2 linked regions of the Drosophila melanogaster genome follow. The protein of the gene in region 1 interacts with the protein of each later gene in a pairwise test. Each region holds a gene or a part of one and is shown in the gene's direction. Other genes may lie near its edges.

Region 1 (8,585 bases):
TTCTGATGTTGCTGCTGTTGCTGCGGCTAGTGTTGCTGCTGCCGCTGTTGCTGCTGCGCCGACGATGGCAACACGAAGGCACACGACAAGTGACCTGCCTGATTTCACCCCACATTTTCATTCTCAGTTAGCCGGCTAAACCAGCTGTTCTTTGTTTATGTTGCTGCCGGCTTACAAAAGCTTATTGTTGAGCAACATTTTGCAGGTTGCGAGCTTTCTTATCAAACGCGCTGATAAGCTGGATACCAGTTATACCTATGCAAAACAAGACACAAACATATTACTTTTAATTGCATCGCTCAGTTAAGAAACATACCTATTGAAAGCATTGCACTCTACTGTAAAATGCATCGAATTGTTTATGACTTTAATTGATCCCAGTGAAGTGAGGCAAAAAAAAAAAAAAAAAATCTGCTGACCCAAATACCACAAAAAATTGTATTTTCAGTTCATTCAGTTTTCTGCGAACAGGCAAAATACAGAAAAAAAAAGGAAACACGTACCCCACTGATCTTCAGTGCGTATAAAAAATGGGCAACATAAAGAAATGCTGCGTTCTGAATTCGTGACAAAAAGCCATCAAAATTCAGAAAACAATCATCAACAATCAAAGTCGAGTCGGTAATTTTTTATTAAAAGCCGAAACAAAACAAAGCGACAGCAGCTGCATTTATGAGAACGCCAATGAGCCACTCGATTCGAATCGCAAAAATTTGTTGGAAACTTTGGCAGCATCGCATAAATAAGCAAATTTATTTGTATGATATCTGTAGCGGCAATTTATTTCGTTGTAGCATTTATTTATTGTGAACATTTTGTCATAAAGCACACGGCCCAGAAAGACTGAGAACAGGAGGAAATTCTCGCTCGTCATGTTCGTCTGTCAGCGGGGATACTTATAAATAAATAAACAGCAATAAATAGCTCTTAAATTAAGCAAATAAATAGGCGTACAATTATTTACTCTCCGGCCGTATTAATATATGTACTTTTTAATATAAATACAATCGGGAAAGATGAACAATCACTAGCTATTCGATAGCTGAATGCTCTTTATGGATACACATATTTTTTTGGTTAATTCTCTTTTTACTTGTTGTCTGCCTCAATTAATTAATTTTTTTTACAATTTTTTCCCTTCGTTTAAGAAGAAATGGTTCTCAGTTTAATCATTACTGATTAAATTTAACAAGAAAAGTGCTCTGTTTAGAAATTCTCATTAAATGTTTTGCCATCAAACCAAAAATAGATACCTTAAATCGTGCAAGTGACGTTTTATGGGTGGGCAGTGGCAAAGTATTCGGAAAATCATGAAAAGTCTTGAGGATCTTGTTGACAGGGGACAAATTTATGCGTGAGAGAAATGCTGCAACACTCACTTGCCTTTTAATTGACTGGGCCTGCAATTAAAAATAAAGAAGTGCCAGTGCAAACATTTCGTATTTCATGTGCCTTACGAAAGCTGTACAATTTGTGGTCACCATTTGGATGATTTATCTGCGCCGCGGGGCGACTTTTTTGGGTGATAAATTTCTTGGAAATATCTCCGCCTTAAGCAATTCTAATGCCGAGTCCCATTAAAATTTATCGTTCCGCATAATGCTAATGACTTATATTAATTTTGGAATGGCTCACGTTTTGCTCTGTAAGTCAGTTGGCATTTTGCTGATAATCAGTCCAAACAGTCTATGGCATAGAATCAGTGGCCAATCAAGTCAGTTTGGCCGGAACAACTAATAATGGTGATTATTTTTTGTATCACCATGACAATGTCAACATGAACGTCATTCAGATGGGACTCAAAGGCTTAATGGCAGCTTCTCTGCGCATTTGCAACAAATAAAGCCTGTCTGACCTTTGTTGCTTCCTCGAATGTTGCAATATTTATGCGCACACATGCAGAGGATGGAAATTCAAGGCTCAACTGCAGGCCAGGATCTTAAATTATAGTCAACTGTTGTCGGCCGTTCATGGTTCATTTATATTTATGACTAGGGTACACACAAAACGAATTAAATGAGCTGTTCTTGGGGTCGTTTAGGGGAAGAGAAAATGAAAAGGGTGTACATTAAATGAAAATTATTCCCACAGATATCATCTCGTTCCTAATAGCATTCGCATGCAACAGATTGTCAACAAAATGATTTGCTTGCGGAAAGGGGAGAAGGCCTCCTGCAGTGGGCAGCAGCACACGCGTCGTATGCGCAATTTGCATAATGAGGACATGAGACAAGGAGTTGGCATGGGCATCATGGGTTTTCCGTTTCAAGGCACCGTCCCCACAGACAGATGACCCAATTTTTAAGGGTCCTTCAGCACTTTATTGAGCGCCTTTCTAAATCCCTTTCGCTTTGCATTCCCTTTATGTCTTAAGTGTCTGTAACCTGAGGCTAAGCGGTCTATTTTCAGCAGTCCAGACATGACCTTAAAGCTAGTTGCCTACTTAAGGATTCCTCCAGCGTGGCCATGCCACGCATTCGAATCATTCGCCTTGGATACACGGCAGCCCGAGGAGGTTCAAAGGTAAATAATCGGATAAATATTTGTAATAATTTCTTGAACGATGAACCACTTCCAAGCGAACAGCAAGTGGTATCCAAAACCACTTTCGCACTCACAATCAGATGCAGCTCATTAGCATTTGATTTGGCGTCGAACCGAAGAAATATTTCCGGCAAAGCGGGCAAACATTGAACCTTTGCTCTGTGTCATTGCCATTTGCGGTTAGTTGAGCGGCAAAAGGTAAACAAATTTACGGGAAAACTCCCTCACCACCTGTGGTTTGAATAATGAAGAGGTGTTTGAGGTGTGAAAATAAATTTGGTAGAAACGAAGCGCTGGAGTGAGTAATCAATATGAATGCGATTTAGGTGCAGAGATCTATCATTCCGTGGTAAATATGTATATATTGTACAACTCATACTCTTCGTATAAGGAAGTGAATCAAAATTTGACAAATAACCATAATAACGATTATTTCTGATTATTTTGATAAATGCGAAATGCGACGAAAATGTATGTCGTTAATGTTTCAGTTTATTCACACGAGTAATATTTATCCAATCTATCTATCCAGTAGGCTGGTGTTATAACATTCACTATCTTTCTATATCCCTCATTCATTTTAGCTAAATCATCCAAAGAACATAAATAGATGTAAAATATATCAAATACAGTTTATACATTATTGTGCTTTTGCGTTTATTGGTGCAACTCGAGGCCAACGAAAGTTTGTTTCGGTGAGTAAAGAGCCTTTGGATGAAGATGGTGCGCCCAATTCGTCGCAAGGGAATCGAGGAGGTCTATGGTTCCAAAATGGATTCCTTGCATCCGGTAAAGTCGGTAGCGATATCCCATGCAGGTGTGACCAAGAAAACAGCAAGGGCTGAGAGATCGGGTCCAGGCGGTGCAACTGGCGGTGGAGGAACCATTAGCTCCCGACAAGTCGATGCTCGCACTCAGCGCAGTTTTGTCACCGAAAATGATTACTACATCACCACCAATCTGCCGTTGACGGCGGCCAATCTGCGAAATGCCCCCGGTTCGATGGCGCAGCCATCAATATCGCAAATGATTCCCGGCCATGTCCAGCCATCTCCATATAACGCCATGCCCTCGAGGCGAAACCAAATGGCCAATAAGGCCAGTGCTCGTCAGGCGCCGATGAACAAGGTGCCGCATTTTAGCCCGGCCGAAGGCACGGTAAACCCTAATGGCTATGGCATGTCCAAGTCGAAGGAGACATACCGAATGAAGCACCGCGAAAAGGGCAATACCCAGAGGAACGACTATCCAATGGATGACAACGACGACTACTCCGATAAGGAACTAATGGTGCCCCAGCAGGGAAACATGGGAAATATGCGCCGGCACAATCCGCACTCTCATGCCCATCAAATGCAAATGCAGTTGCAATCCGGAGCAATGCAGCATCCGCCGCAACACCAGCTGCACCAGCAGCAGCAGATGACTACTCACAACCACCTCAAGCATCAGCAACAGCAGCGCCTCCAGCATTCGCAACCGCATCAGCATCAGCATCAGCATCCGCATCCGCATCAGAAGCAGATGCGTGGGCGACAGCCTGTTCCGGCGAGCAAGGTGCACGTGAGTACCGCCGATGACGATGAAGATAAGGAGGAAGATCCTGAGGAGTTCTTTGACCTGATCCGCCAGACTGTCAAAACGGCCGTTGGCGTGAGTTTCGCATAAGTTCCTTAGTTGATTAGTTAATACACTATGCACTTTCTTTAGAACACCATATCCGATGCTCTGGCAAAGAACTTTCGCGATCTGAGCCACAAAATCGAAAGGTTCTCGGGCGAGTTGAAGCAGACAAACGATAACCTGGATAAGCTGCAGGAACAAGTCATTAGCAGTGAGTTTATTTACTTTCAGTGTTTATTTGGTATTTATAATATGTAACTATTTTTTGGCATCTGCAGAGGTAATTTACTTCGGTGAGGAAAATTCGCGACACTTTCGGTACTTGTGCATGAAATCCGAGTACGATAAAATGTTTTACCAGCATCAATCGCTGATGAATGGAAAGCCCACTCAGGAAATGCTGAGTCTTTCGAAGGCGAACTTAGAAGCAGCGGCCTCAGTCAGTCAGAATCTGACACAGAAACCGTCGCATAGTTTAAAACAACAACCAGGAAAAGTGATTAGGAATCAAAGCAAAATGCCTATTAGCGCCAAAAAAGACCATAACGAGTCCCTAATGAACTCCAGTGCCTATCGTAGCATCTGCAAAGCTCAGCAGCCAGTTCTTGCTGCACAAAAGTCGTCATCGGAGCAAAGTTTAGTTGTAAAATCATCTGATGTGGGCGTGCAAGAAGTCCTGGATAATATCCAGCGCTACTGCAATCAGGTGAAGGATATGAATGGTCAGATGTCGGCTGAACTGCCCAGTCTCGAGGACATCTTGATACCCAAGAAAAATTCAAACGGTGGACTTTGTCAGCCAGCAGCCATGAGCTCTAGGACCCTCGCAGGTAGTCAGAAAAATAAAAAGGTTGACGACACGGAGATCGAAACGCCCAACGATAGTACGGATGAGACCTACACCGAAGTGGATGACTTCCAGCTCTCCTCGGACATCTCGACCGGCAGCGAGGACGATGACTGTGGCCTCAAGTATCCAAGTGGAGCAACTACGAGCCGGCCCAACCGCAAATTAAATCGAAGGGGAGCCAACCAAGGCGCCGGAGATGGTCAGTAAAGCCACTGGAGTGAAGATAAAGGAGCATTCAAACTGAAGGGGAACCCATTCCTAGAAATCGCCTTAATACTTATTTAAATATTACTTTTGGCATGACCTAAATTATTTCTGATAATGTAAAGCCAAAAAAAATTGGATCAAATGTTTCGACAAATTAACTATAACTTATCGTACCTGGCGTACATGTATTCATTTAATTCATTTTTAGGATCACAATTAAACTATGTTCAAAATTTAAAACTGGCTTTCATATTCTTATTTATGTTATGTGAACAGCTTACATTGAGCATAAAACTGACCTATTTGGCCCTTGGCAATCCCGATTCTCGCTGAGTAATGCCCATTGGTGTCACTAATAAGTGCATATTATATTGACTGCAAAGCAAGAATCAACTGAGCTGGCCAAAACAAGGCATCACCCCCATCCGGCAACCGGGTAAAACTGAGTCGAGTGGAAAATAAGGCCTAAGACCACCCCCACTAGCCCTAACCTGCAGCTGCATTTTTATGGGCTTACGAGTGTCGCGGCTCTGCAAGTTCTTCCGCTAGTTCAGTTGGCCAAAACAGTTTAAACGTGGACGTGGTCCGTCGGTAAGATATTGGTGCGTCTATTCAAAGTAAAATGAGTATTTAAATAAAAAGCCAAACAGCTTAATAAGGCCATATAGTTGCTTTTTGGGCAATTAAAGTTAAACCCCCTAAAGGAATTGAGCTCTAAATTAAACTTATGCAACGTGGCCAAATGAAAATGCTTACTTTTCAACTGATGTTGCGTTTGACGTGAATTAAAAGTGTTATGCAAAGCCCCAAAACCCGGAAAAGTGCCATACGAATGTCAAAGCCCAAGGCACGAGTGTCGGTTCTGTTTTCAAGGATATTCCACTGAACAGTTTGCATTGGATAGCCATAAAATAAAATAAAACATTTTGATAAACCAACGAGGATAGCAAACATTGTGCAAGCTATCCACAAGTGCCGAACTGTAAGACTGGCCAAATTGCAATTACTGATCGGCACCTTTGACAGGCCACCCTATTCCACCCTGAAACCCGAAACCCTTTTGCCCAGCAAGTTGGCTAATTGCAATGACCAATATTTGAACTGGCTTCGGGGTGTACATATTTATTTGTATAATTATGGGAAATTGTACACTCGACGTGGAAAGCACTCAATTTCGTGAGTGACTGTTTGAGCCAATAACCATAACAACCAGCGAGTGCCGGGCCTCAGCCAAGTTAGTCAAAACAAAACGGCCAAAACAGGTGCAAAACATTGCCACATCAGTGTTCCGCCTTCGGTTTTCCAGGGGGTGGGTTCGAAAACGGAAAAACTAAAATAAAATAAACTGAAATAGAGACAAAAAAAAAATCGAATAGAACATAATTGCATTGTGCGGGCAACTGCAATGCTGCACCCGTTAACACAGGGGCTTACCAAATCAAATTGGTTGTTCGTGGGCCAACAATAAATATATATGTACGGTTTGAGTGCTGCGTACATCACTGGACAAATATAAAACGAGAAACGTTTAATTGACCCTAAAATCACTGAGGCGTTCAATTTGTGTTCCCTTGTTGTTTTTTCTTTGTTTTTTTTTTTTGCCAATTGCTGTTGCCCAAAACTATTGTGGCTCTGACTGTCAGTGGGTCTAGTGCGTGAATCTGTGCAATAAGTGTGTGCAGTGCCATAAATTCCAGAATTCGGCTTCCACAAAAAACCTCTATTGATTTTCCCGAAGTGAGAGAATATGCGAAACAGAAATTTTTTCCACCGTATTACTTTGCACTGATAGTGGGCAAAATCACGAAGAAACAGACATGGAAAAGTGGAAACTATGCCAAGCCAACAAAGTCTGTGTTAGTGTGACAATTTTTAATGCGATTAAAGTGCAGCACTCTCCACGCAGTCGGCAAAATGGTTGAAGTGGCCGGCAAAAAATAAAAAATACAATTCTGCACACTGGCTAATATCCAACTTACCATTTTCTTTCTTCCTTCTAGCTATCAAAATAAAAATAAAATGATATCAATTATCAGTACATGTTGAAGGAAAGACTGCTGCATTGCTTAATTATCAACGGACATTTTTTGTATTTAATTGTAAAACCTTTAAAACTTTAGAAATGAAGGTCATGGACGCTTTGCAATCTGGACGGAGAAAGCCATTACCAGTGGGTGAGTGCTGAGTAAATGTCGTAAGGCAGAAGTGAAGTGCAATGGAATGAATGGCAACTTGAGGGGATTTCTTTTTCCGGGAATATTTCAAGACCTGTATTTTTCTCAAAATGCCATTCAAGCTTGAGTTTGTGTAGAAAATTCCATTGCAAATATGGTTTAAGTGAATTCCTTTATTGAGTAATTCAATCAATTAACTAGTCAATCAACCATGCTAACCAGAACAAAGTTACTTTAAATTTAAGGACGACGATATTTTCCATCTTATACGAATAAGATTTAATTCATTGTTGTCCTCTGCAGCTCTTCTATGCATCCTAGTCACTGTGTTCTGCGTCTTGGAGTGCCATGGAGCTGACCTGACATCACCCACCAAGAAGTCCGCTCCCCTTCGAATAACCAAACCACAGCCCACAAGTCAGCAGGCCAAGCCCATCAGTATTACCACAAGGGCCCCAACAACGGTGGCATCAACCACCGATGATGAAGTCTCCAGCTCCGTCGATGGTCAGCTGGCCCCGCTCATCTCATCCACAACCGAGGGACCCAGCAGTGGAACAACTGCCAGCTTAGTGCCGGAAATATGTCTCAATGGTCTGCAGTTGACGGTCAATAGTGCGGATGAGGGAACGGTTATACGGAAGCAGGAGGAGTTTGTCAAGATACTCGAAGGAGATGTGGTGCTCAGTGTCTTGACCAAGGACCCCGACTCCGCGTTGTTCGTAATCAATCGTGTGAACCAGGCGAATCTTATAATGGCAGACTTTGAAATTGGTTTGTAAAATTCCGCTATTTATATGCACCTAAATCAAATCCTTCTTATTGAATTCCAGGAATTCGCGCCATCAGCATCGACAACGCCAGCTTGGCAGAGAACTTGCTTATTCAAGAAGTTCAGTTTCTGCAGCAGTGCACGACGTACTCGATGGGCATATTCGTTGACTGGGAGCTGTACAAACAACTGGAGTCTGTTATCAAGGACTTGGAATACAATATCTGGCCAATACCGGGAACGCGGGCGCACCTCTTTCCCAAAGTTGCGCACTTGCTGCATCAAATGCCTTGGGGCGAAAAAATCGCATCCGTGGAAATAGCAACCGAAACGCTGGAGATGTACAATGAATTCATGGAAGCCGCTCGCCAGGAGCACATGTGCCTCATGCACTTCAAAAGTGACGATAATGTTT
Region 2 (7,975 bases), on another chromosome or scaffold:
ATGACCTGTACATAGTTAAGAAAAGCGTCCGAGAGAGCACACTGCATGGCTTGAAAAACAAAACCGAATAACTTCGACTTTTTTGTGCTGCTGCTCCCCTTATGAGAAAATTATGGCATTTTCCCAGGCTTCAAATTTCGAACACAAAGAGCCGCACCTGCAAATCGAAGAGAACCAATTTGAGTTCTGAAACACGTTTTATAGCTCCACCTCACTTTCGAAACATTTGAATTTGCGTAATTCTCGCTTTCAAACTAGTGACCAAAAACCAAATTTAAAATATTGTATAGCAAAATGAGTAAAATGAGTTTAACGTTGAATTGAAAACCAAAAACCAAGCAGCACTTGTTGGAATCCATAGATGCGACTTCTAAACACATGCTTGTGATTTCTTCTCCACAGGAGTGGCTTGCTGAATTTCAGCGCTGTGGCCTTGGCCCTCAACGATCTGGGCTACCATGCGCTTGGAATTCGAATCGACTCCGGGGATCTGGCCTATCTTTCCTGCCTGGCACGCGAAACGTTCGAGAAGGTGGCGGAGCGATTCAAGGTGCCGTGGTTCAACAAGCTGACCATTGTGGCGTCCAACGACATCAATGAGGACACCATTCTGAGTCTCAACGAACAGGGGCACAAGATCGATTGCTTTGGCATTGGCACGCATTTGGGTGAGTTTGCTGTACTTATGTACATTTGAAATCTTGAATGTGTTGTAAATATTGTGTATTTTGCAGTTACCTGCCAACGACAGCCGGCGCTGGGTTGTGTGTACAAGCTCGTTGAGATCAACGGCCAGCCGCGTATCAAACTGAGCCAGGACGTGGAGAAGGTGACGATGCCGGGCAACAAGAATGCCTATCGGCTGTATAGCGCCGATGGTCACGCGCTCATCGATCTGCTGCAGAAGGTATCGGAGCCGCCGCCAGCGGTGGGACAGAAGGTACTGTGCCGGCATCCGTTCCAGGAGTCGAAGCGTGCCTACGTGATACCCTCGCACGTGGAGTCGCTCTACAAGGTGTATTGGAAGTCGGGCAAGATTTGCCAGCAGCTGCCCACGTTGGAGCAGGTACGCGAGAAGGTGCAAATCTCGCTGAAAACGTTGCGCAACGATCACAAGCGCACGCTCAACCCGACGCCCTACAAGGTGGGTGTAATCATTTGATTTGGCTTACGAAAAGGGTCTAACCAATGTCTCACTTTTTTTCAGGTGGCTGTCAGCGATAATCTCTACAACTTCATTCACGATCTGTGGCTTCAGAATGCACCAATTGGCGAGCTATCATGATCTATATAAGGAGGATCTGGCAAGGATGCGCTAAAACATTTCCGAGAAATTTACTTACCTTTGGTTTTCAATATTTGTTGGCCTCGATTTTGGGGTCGTGGTGGATTAGTTTTTTTTTTAGTCAATTGCTGGTCATATGCATTGTAGAGCTGGAACTCGTTCCGTCACACGAGGATTTCCCGCTGACTATGAAGCACAAACTCCCACGCAATTTAGCGAGTGAATTTCAAATCAATAGTTTTAACGTGTTTATCTAATATTTACTACTACTACTACTACTACTATGTAAAACGCACATCATATTCAGGAATGTGTAATGTGCCTTAAACGAGAAGCGGAAGCGGAATTAGAATCAGGATGCACAGGAATCACGAACCCAAATCGAGTTACTAAGTTACAACCAAATATCGGAACGGAATAAATATGTCTTTAATATTTTTCTAGTACTTAAGTGTTGAAATGTTGCGAACGAAGGATGAATGTTAGAAGTACAAATGCTTTTTAGGACATTTGCACGCAGTAGGGCACAACACATCAAGCACACAACTATAACTACTCTATCTATATATAACTACATACATACTGCGATTATGTATTTAACTAAAAGGTAAAAGAGCGCCGCAAAGAGAAATCAACTTTCTACGACAGTTTGGGAATAGTTTTTAGTATCTGTATCTTTTATTTATTTCGAATATGCAAAGACAGTGTTTTCATTTAAACTTCTTTGTCGGTTTGACAAATAACATGCTTCTTTCTGTGGCACGGATCATCGTTCATTTTGCTCCTAATCAGCTCCACACAGTTCTCATCTTCATTGCCGTGATTGGGTTCGCCCGCATTCCAATTGAGGAATTCAACTTCCCTGCCGGATGCCACGGATACGTAGGTGTTACTGCTTTGCAAGTCGTTTATGCCCAGCCAGTAGCTCTTGTCGTCCAGTCTCGCTGAAATGGCGTCCAGCTCCTCTTGATCCTTGATGGCGGCTATATAGCCACCCATGTCACGACAGAAGTCTACAGCGGATTGCCAGTCGTAGGCATCCTTGTGATTTATGTAGAAGAGTCTAGAGCCGATTCGCTCAAATTTCGGCCAGAAGACCTTGGTATAAATTTCCTTGAGTGTGACTTGGTTGGCGGACTGCTGAGCTCCCAGCTTGGTCAGCTCATCCTTCTGATTCTGCTCCAACTTTTGCAATTTCCGTTCAAAATCCTCTGGGATCTTCTTTAGAGTTTCCTGAAGTAACTTCTGCTGTTCTTCAATCTGAGCCAGCCGCATTTCGAAATTTATCGGCATGGCGTTCTTTAGGGCTTCCAACTGATCCTGCTGAGATTCCTTGGTGAGATTGATTTGATTTTCCAACTGGTCGCCCAATGTCTTTTGCTGATTTTCCATTTTCATTAGCCTCGCATCGAGTTCAGCTGGCATTTTCTTTAGAGACTCCTGCAGTGTCGTCTGAAGATGTTCCATTCGGTCCAGTCTATCCTTGATGTCTCCTGGAACCTTCTGCGCTGATTCCTCCAAGGATAGCGCTTGTGCCGCCAGCTGGGTCTGTATCCTGTCCAATTTGCCCTGGGTTTCGTTCAGCCAGAGGGCCTCGGAGGTGTTCCATTGCTCCTGGTGCTTTACAATGTGATCCAATAGCGGTTGGAGCACCGAAAGGCAGAATTCTCCGCACTGATTTGGCGGATCTTTCAGAAGGCACACGGATCGGGAATTTTCTGTGGATTCCGCTCGTGATTCAACCAGATTGCAGGCAACAAGTAAGTACACAATACATTTTTCAAGCCTAAACATTTTGATATCGCACAACCACTGCAAGCGCAGAAATAAAACGTACTGATCCGCATTTTATGTAAAAGGTTCTACAGAGCAAAAAAGATAAGACCCATAATTTAAATTTAATTCCGTTTTTGCATTTATCAAGAATTTATCGCTTCTGTGGGCGACATTCAATGTGCTTTGTGTTCGGCGAGATGTTTGATTGTATTAAGTTTCTTACGCTGCTTACAAGAGTTCATAATTAATATTATCGCATTTCTCCTATAAAAAATTCAAATCTAAAATTTCCCTGGCGCGTATTCTTCTTCTTGCCGCCGTTGCCATTCACCGTGCGCATTAAACGGTAATGTTGTTTGGTCTTTTTTAGTACATAACTGTTGACACTCACAACGATTAGGCAACATTTGTTATTGTGAGCAGCTGCACAAAATAATAAGAAAATTAAACAAAAGGTTAATAAACAGAATAAAAATAATATAATTTCTCTTAATTTGAACTACAATCACTGCGCATATGATACGTGCCCAGTAAGAAAGCCGCGTTTTCCATGCATTTCTCTGCAGCTGCGCAACTTGGCAAGAAAAACAACAACAACTGTGATTCATACGGCCAAATAGAAGTTATGCCCTAGAAATTGATTTTTAACCAGATATTTCGTTATAGATTGATACCGAAAATCATGGAAGGCGACGCGGAAAATCGCAAGGATCAAATCCTCGAGCGTTTGAACAAAAGAAACAAGGACAGGCAAAACTATTTGGATGTGAAATCGGAGCTGCGTTCCAAGGAAACAGTGCAGAACGAGGGCGTTGACTACTTCTACCAGACTTTCAGCCAAAAAACCATGGATATAGAGCAGCGATTAAAGGATGTGCAGTGCGGCGATGGCCAGCCAACCGATTTGGCCAGAAACTTCGCCGACATAACTGTGGAGATCCAGGATCTGCAGCGATATCTCACCGCATCCACCATGTTTCTGCCCGACTTCAAGATCAAATCCTGTCAGAATATCCTTAACACCCTGACCGCCGTCAGTGATGAAACCCGCCAGCGCCTGTTGCCCAAGAAAAAGTTTGGTTTCAGTGGCAAAAAGACCGTCACAAAGCCAAAAGTCCCTCCAAATAAGGATATAGTCGACGCGAAACTCAGTAAAGTCCCAGAAAAACTAGGCTCCAATTTCACGTGGACGATTGCCAATCGAACGAACGAGCATATAGTCCTGGATTCCGCTAAAGTCAATGGCCAGGACATCACAATATCGAAACTGAACCACTGTTTGGTTGAACTGCAGGGTCATCCCGGTTCTGTGCAGGTTTCCAGGGCCTCCAAATGCACGCTGCTATGCGGCCCCATCGCACGCTCCTTCTTCGCCGAGAATCTCGAGGATTGCACCCTCTCCATTGCCTGCCAGCAGTTGAGGTTGCACTCCTCCCGGTCCATTCGCATATACATGCATGTCACCTGCCGCGCAATAATCGAGGATTGCAAGAGTATTGAGATCGGAGAGTACAACTACGATTATTCCAAACTGGAGGCCGACTACCTAGCTTCTGGACTGAATAAGGCACAGAACAACTATACGGATGTGGCCGATTTTAACTGGCTTTCGCCGGATGTCCCCTCGCCGAACTGGAGCCTCCTCAAGGATTATCCCGATCCGAATTGGAACGCCTTAAGGCGCGACTTTATTGCCAATAACCATAACAGCGAACTTAAGCAGGATGTCAAGGACATATCCATCATTTAGTGGCGGCATCGGCGGCTGCTCCTCGGTTGGCTAGCCTACGGCATCATCCTCGGTTGGCTGCTCTGGGAAATGCTGCTGCGGCCCTCAGTTACAGGCCCAAAATCTAATCCTCGATCTGTGTAATTAGCTATAAGCGTGTTGATTAAATAACCATTATGTAAAAAACAAAAATAGTCTCTTGTATATTAAGGGACTCCAAATCATTGTCAAAATTTTTTTCAGTATCTCAGCAGTAATCATTTTGGAGTGGGTGAGTTAAAGTTTGACTTCTTCGATAACATATGTACATATGTACATGCGTATGTACATATGTATCTGTTCTTGTTTATGTCGTGGCTAATTTGACATGTCCAATTCGGATGTGGCATAATCAGTGGTTGGCCAAAATGGCTGTGGCTGCCACACACATTCCGGAATGGGCGGAAGACGGCGCCTCATGCAAGTTTCATGTGGCCACAACAGAACCTCTCAAGCCATTGCCTGCACATTGATCGGGTCACTCCACTTACACATCAGGTTTGTTCTGAAAATGCAAAAGTAAAGAAATACTTTAGAAAAGCAAATTCGTATGTACATATGCTTTTCATTGCGTTTTCTGATTTGATGCAAAACTAAATTGATATTAATAATTTATTTTTGTTTATTTTAGTTTTTTCGAACTGTCAACTTCAAAACTTATACGCAATTTTAAGTTAGAGTATCTGTTCTTCGTCATCTCTTAACTGTTAAGCTATTTTACTCTTCCCCCATTCACTCACCATTTCTCTCATCCCGTTGACTTTTGCGGCTGTCAACATGGCCGACTGTCAAAATAATTAACGAATTCGAGTTACAAGCGGTGAAGAAGGGGATGCATCTCCGCAAATAAGTACATGTGTGGTATATATGTATGTATGTGGCTATAGCTCATGAAGGCGGAGGAATCATCGGAAGAGACAACTCGTATTAGCGAGGTAATTGAACTGCGAGTTACACAAGTAACGGTGATGCTGTTAGATTGGAAGGGGGAAGGGGGGAGAGCCAAATTGAGAGCAGGTAATGAGCTGTCACAATTGAGGATAGTGACAAAAACGGTGTGAAGCAAGGAGAATAACAGATGCACAAATACCAGAGTGCGAAACAACGGAAGATCAGCAAGTGAAGTAAAGAAAAACGCGAAAGTGCGCAGATTTTCGGCTTATCTCTTGGTTGATCTTCAATATCTCATTAAACTTCGCTTTCATTCAATGTGAATTCACGATGAGGAATAGTGCATATTGGGAGCTTACTACAAGTAAGCTACAAGTAAATAAATGTAAGGAAAATGAGTATATAAATACACAAATCACATAATTACGGTGTATAATATAGCAACGACTTTTGCTTTGCTTTTTTTATTTATTTTTTTAAGTGTAGTGATATTGGAGTGATATAAGTTTAATCAAATTTAAATGGTGTGGTGATATAAAATACAAATATAATTTAAAGTGGCATGGATAAATCATTTTAAAATTCCGAATGAAAGGATTAAGAGGTATGTACCCGTATTGAAATGTTATGTACTGTATCTATTATTTCCAATACATTTTAACAACTTATTTACCATTTCAATACCATAAGCAATACACAAACAGAAATTGTTCCAATCTAATTGCAAATGAATTGTCGATAATGTGACGAAATTGCATCAATTTGCTGTCAGTTCATGTCAAGTGCACATGATTCGCACTCACCTGCTATTCACCTGTAATTTCCACTCGAGTCTTACCAAGGTTTAGTTTCATTTTCAACATAATAACGTTTGAATATCAAATGGTGCGTTTTATGTTGGCAGGCTATGGGAAATAGGATCACTTCTTAAACTAAACATATATTATATTAAAAATATAAAATATTTTAATGTGTCTTTCAAACTTGAAGATTCTGATTATTTCTTCTATCTTATCGTCTTTGGCGATTGCCAGCGACTGCAATATCCGTTTATTTAAATGAAGCCGATACACTATCAAATCTAATTGCTTTCACACTTGAACTGTGTTGGTAATTCCGGCCGCACACACACACACACACACACACATACACACATACAGTATGCATGTGTGCTCACAATACGGACAGGTGCATCTGGTGGTGCCACATTTGCATAGCTCACAATTAGTTTTCTCATTATCGCAGATAATATTCGCCGCATTTGCGATAAGACCGAGGACCCAACAACGGTGACCGCCCCCACATTAATATTATCGCAGTGCCTGTAATTGCCTGACTCTCTCACACTTTGATGGTTTCAATTACTGCAAAATCACCGAGCCGCGCTACCTTCGTCCTGGCTCCTTCGCTCTATGCCCACGGTGACCCACATGCAATCCGCAAATGCCTTTGTGTGCGGATTTTATGGCTCAGCTGATGTGGCCAACGATGCTAATTTACGCATTTAGTTAAGCGGCCTTAATGTGTTGGCCCAAAGTGTGATTTCTAGGTAGGAATAACAGCGATTGATCAATTCAGCCAAATATCACTCATACGCCATGTATAAGTTAACACAATCACAAAACACCCGAAATATAGTCGTAAGCCTCAAGTGCTTTTCCCATCTATAGATCGAGCTTTACCTATAAGAAACTGTAACTTGTTAAGCTTTAGAGATAAGAACTCTTGCTTTACTTAAGTTAGTCGATTTTGGAAGATTAGAAGCGTCGGTCATCGCCACGTACTTACTATTCGTCTCATTAAGTGCAGACCGCGCAAGCCCTATTGTAATTAATAAACTTACGCTAATAAATATATGGAAAATCTACTAAAATGATAATTGGCGCCCAAACGGATATAAAAACCTACGATAACTGAATAATTATAAATAAATAACAAAAGGAGGATCCGGAGACAAAACCAGCGGCTTTGGCTAATTAACTCTAACCTAAGAAATAAAAGTTTCGTGATTACATAAAGTATAATATTAATTACTAAGACCATCTACCTTAAAATTGTTTGTTAATCACTATTATTATATTGTAAGTATAACGCTTGTTGAACGAATTGGAAATATTATTATTATTATTATATTATAACCTATGCAAAGAGTATTGATAATAAAAATACATGAGTGACAGTGATAACCTTTTGGACAACCTAGTGTCAAGCTTAAATAAATGGTCAGCGCACCAGGCAAGTAGGCAAAACAGTGC

The links. The genes of interacting proteins can lie anywhere in the genome.
Region 2: the proteins of CG14540 (region 1) and Tbcc interact in a two-hybrid assay, tested with the Drosophila melanogaster proteins (one large-scale study listed by BioGRID).

Annotation. Positions count from the first base shown.
Region 1 is NT_033777.3:25,956,218-25,964,802, forward strand, and holds CG14540 (uncharacterized protein), read left to right. Parts: upstream 1-3,061; 5' UTR 3,062-3,258; coding exon 3,259-4,197; intron 4,198-4,254; coding exon 4,255-4,378; intron 4,379-4,445; coding exon 4,446-5,224; 3' UTR 5,225-5,469; downstream 5,470-8,585. Other genes in the region: boss (bride of sevenless), read left to right, coding at 7,347-7,398, 7,702-8,172, 8,232-8,585.
Region 2 is NT_033779.5:4,183,252-4,191,226, reverse strand, and holds Tbcc (Tubulin-binding cofactor C), read left to right. Parts: upstream 1-3,433; 5' UTR 3,434-3,660; intron 3,661-3,727; 5' UTR 3,728-3,743; coding exon 3,744-4,811; 3' UTR 4,812-4,977; downstream 4,978-7,975. Other genes in the region: Naprt (nicotinate phosphoribosyltransferase), read left to right, coding at 403-668, 735-1,144, 1,208-1,285; lectin-24Db, read right to left, coding at 2,000-3,079.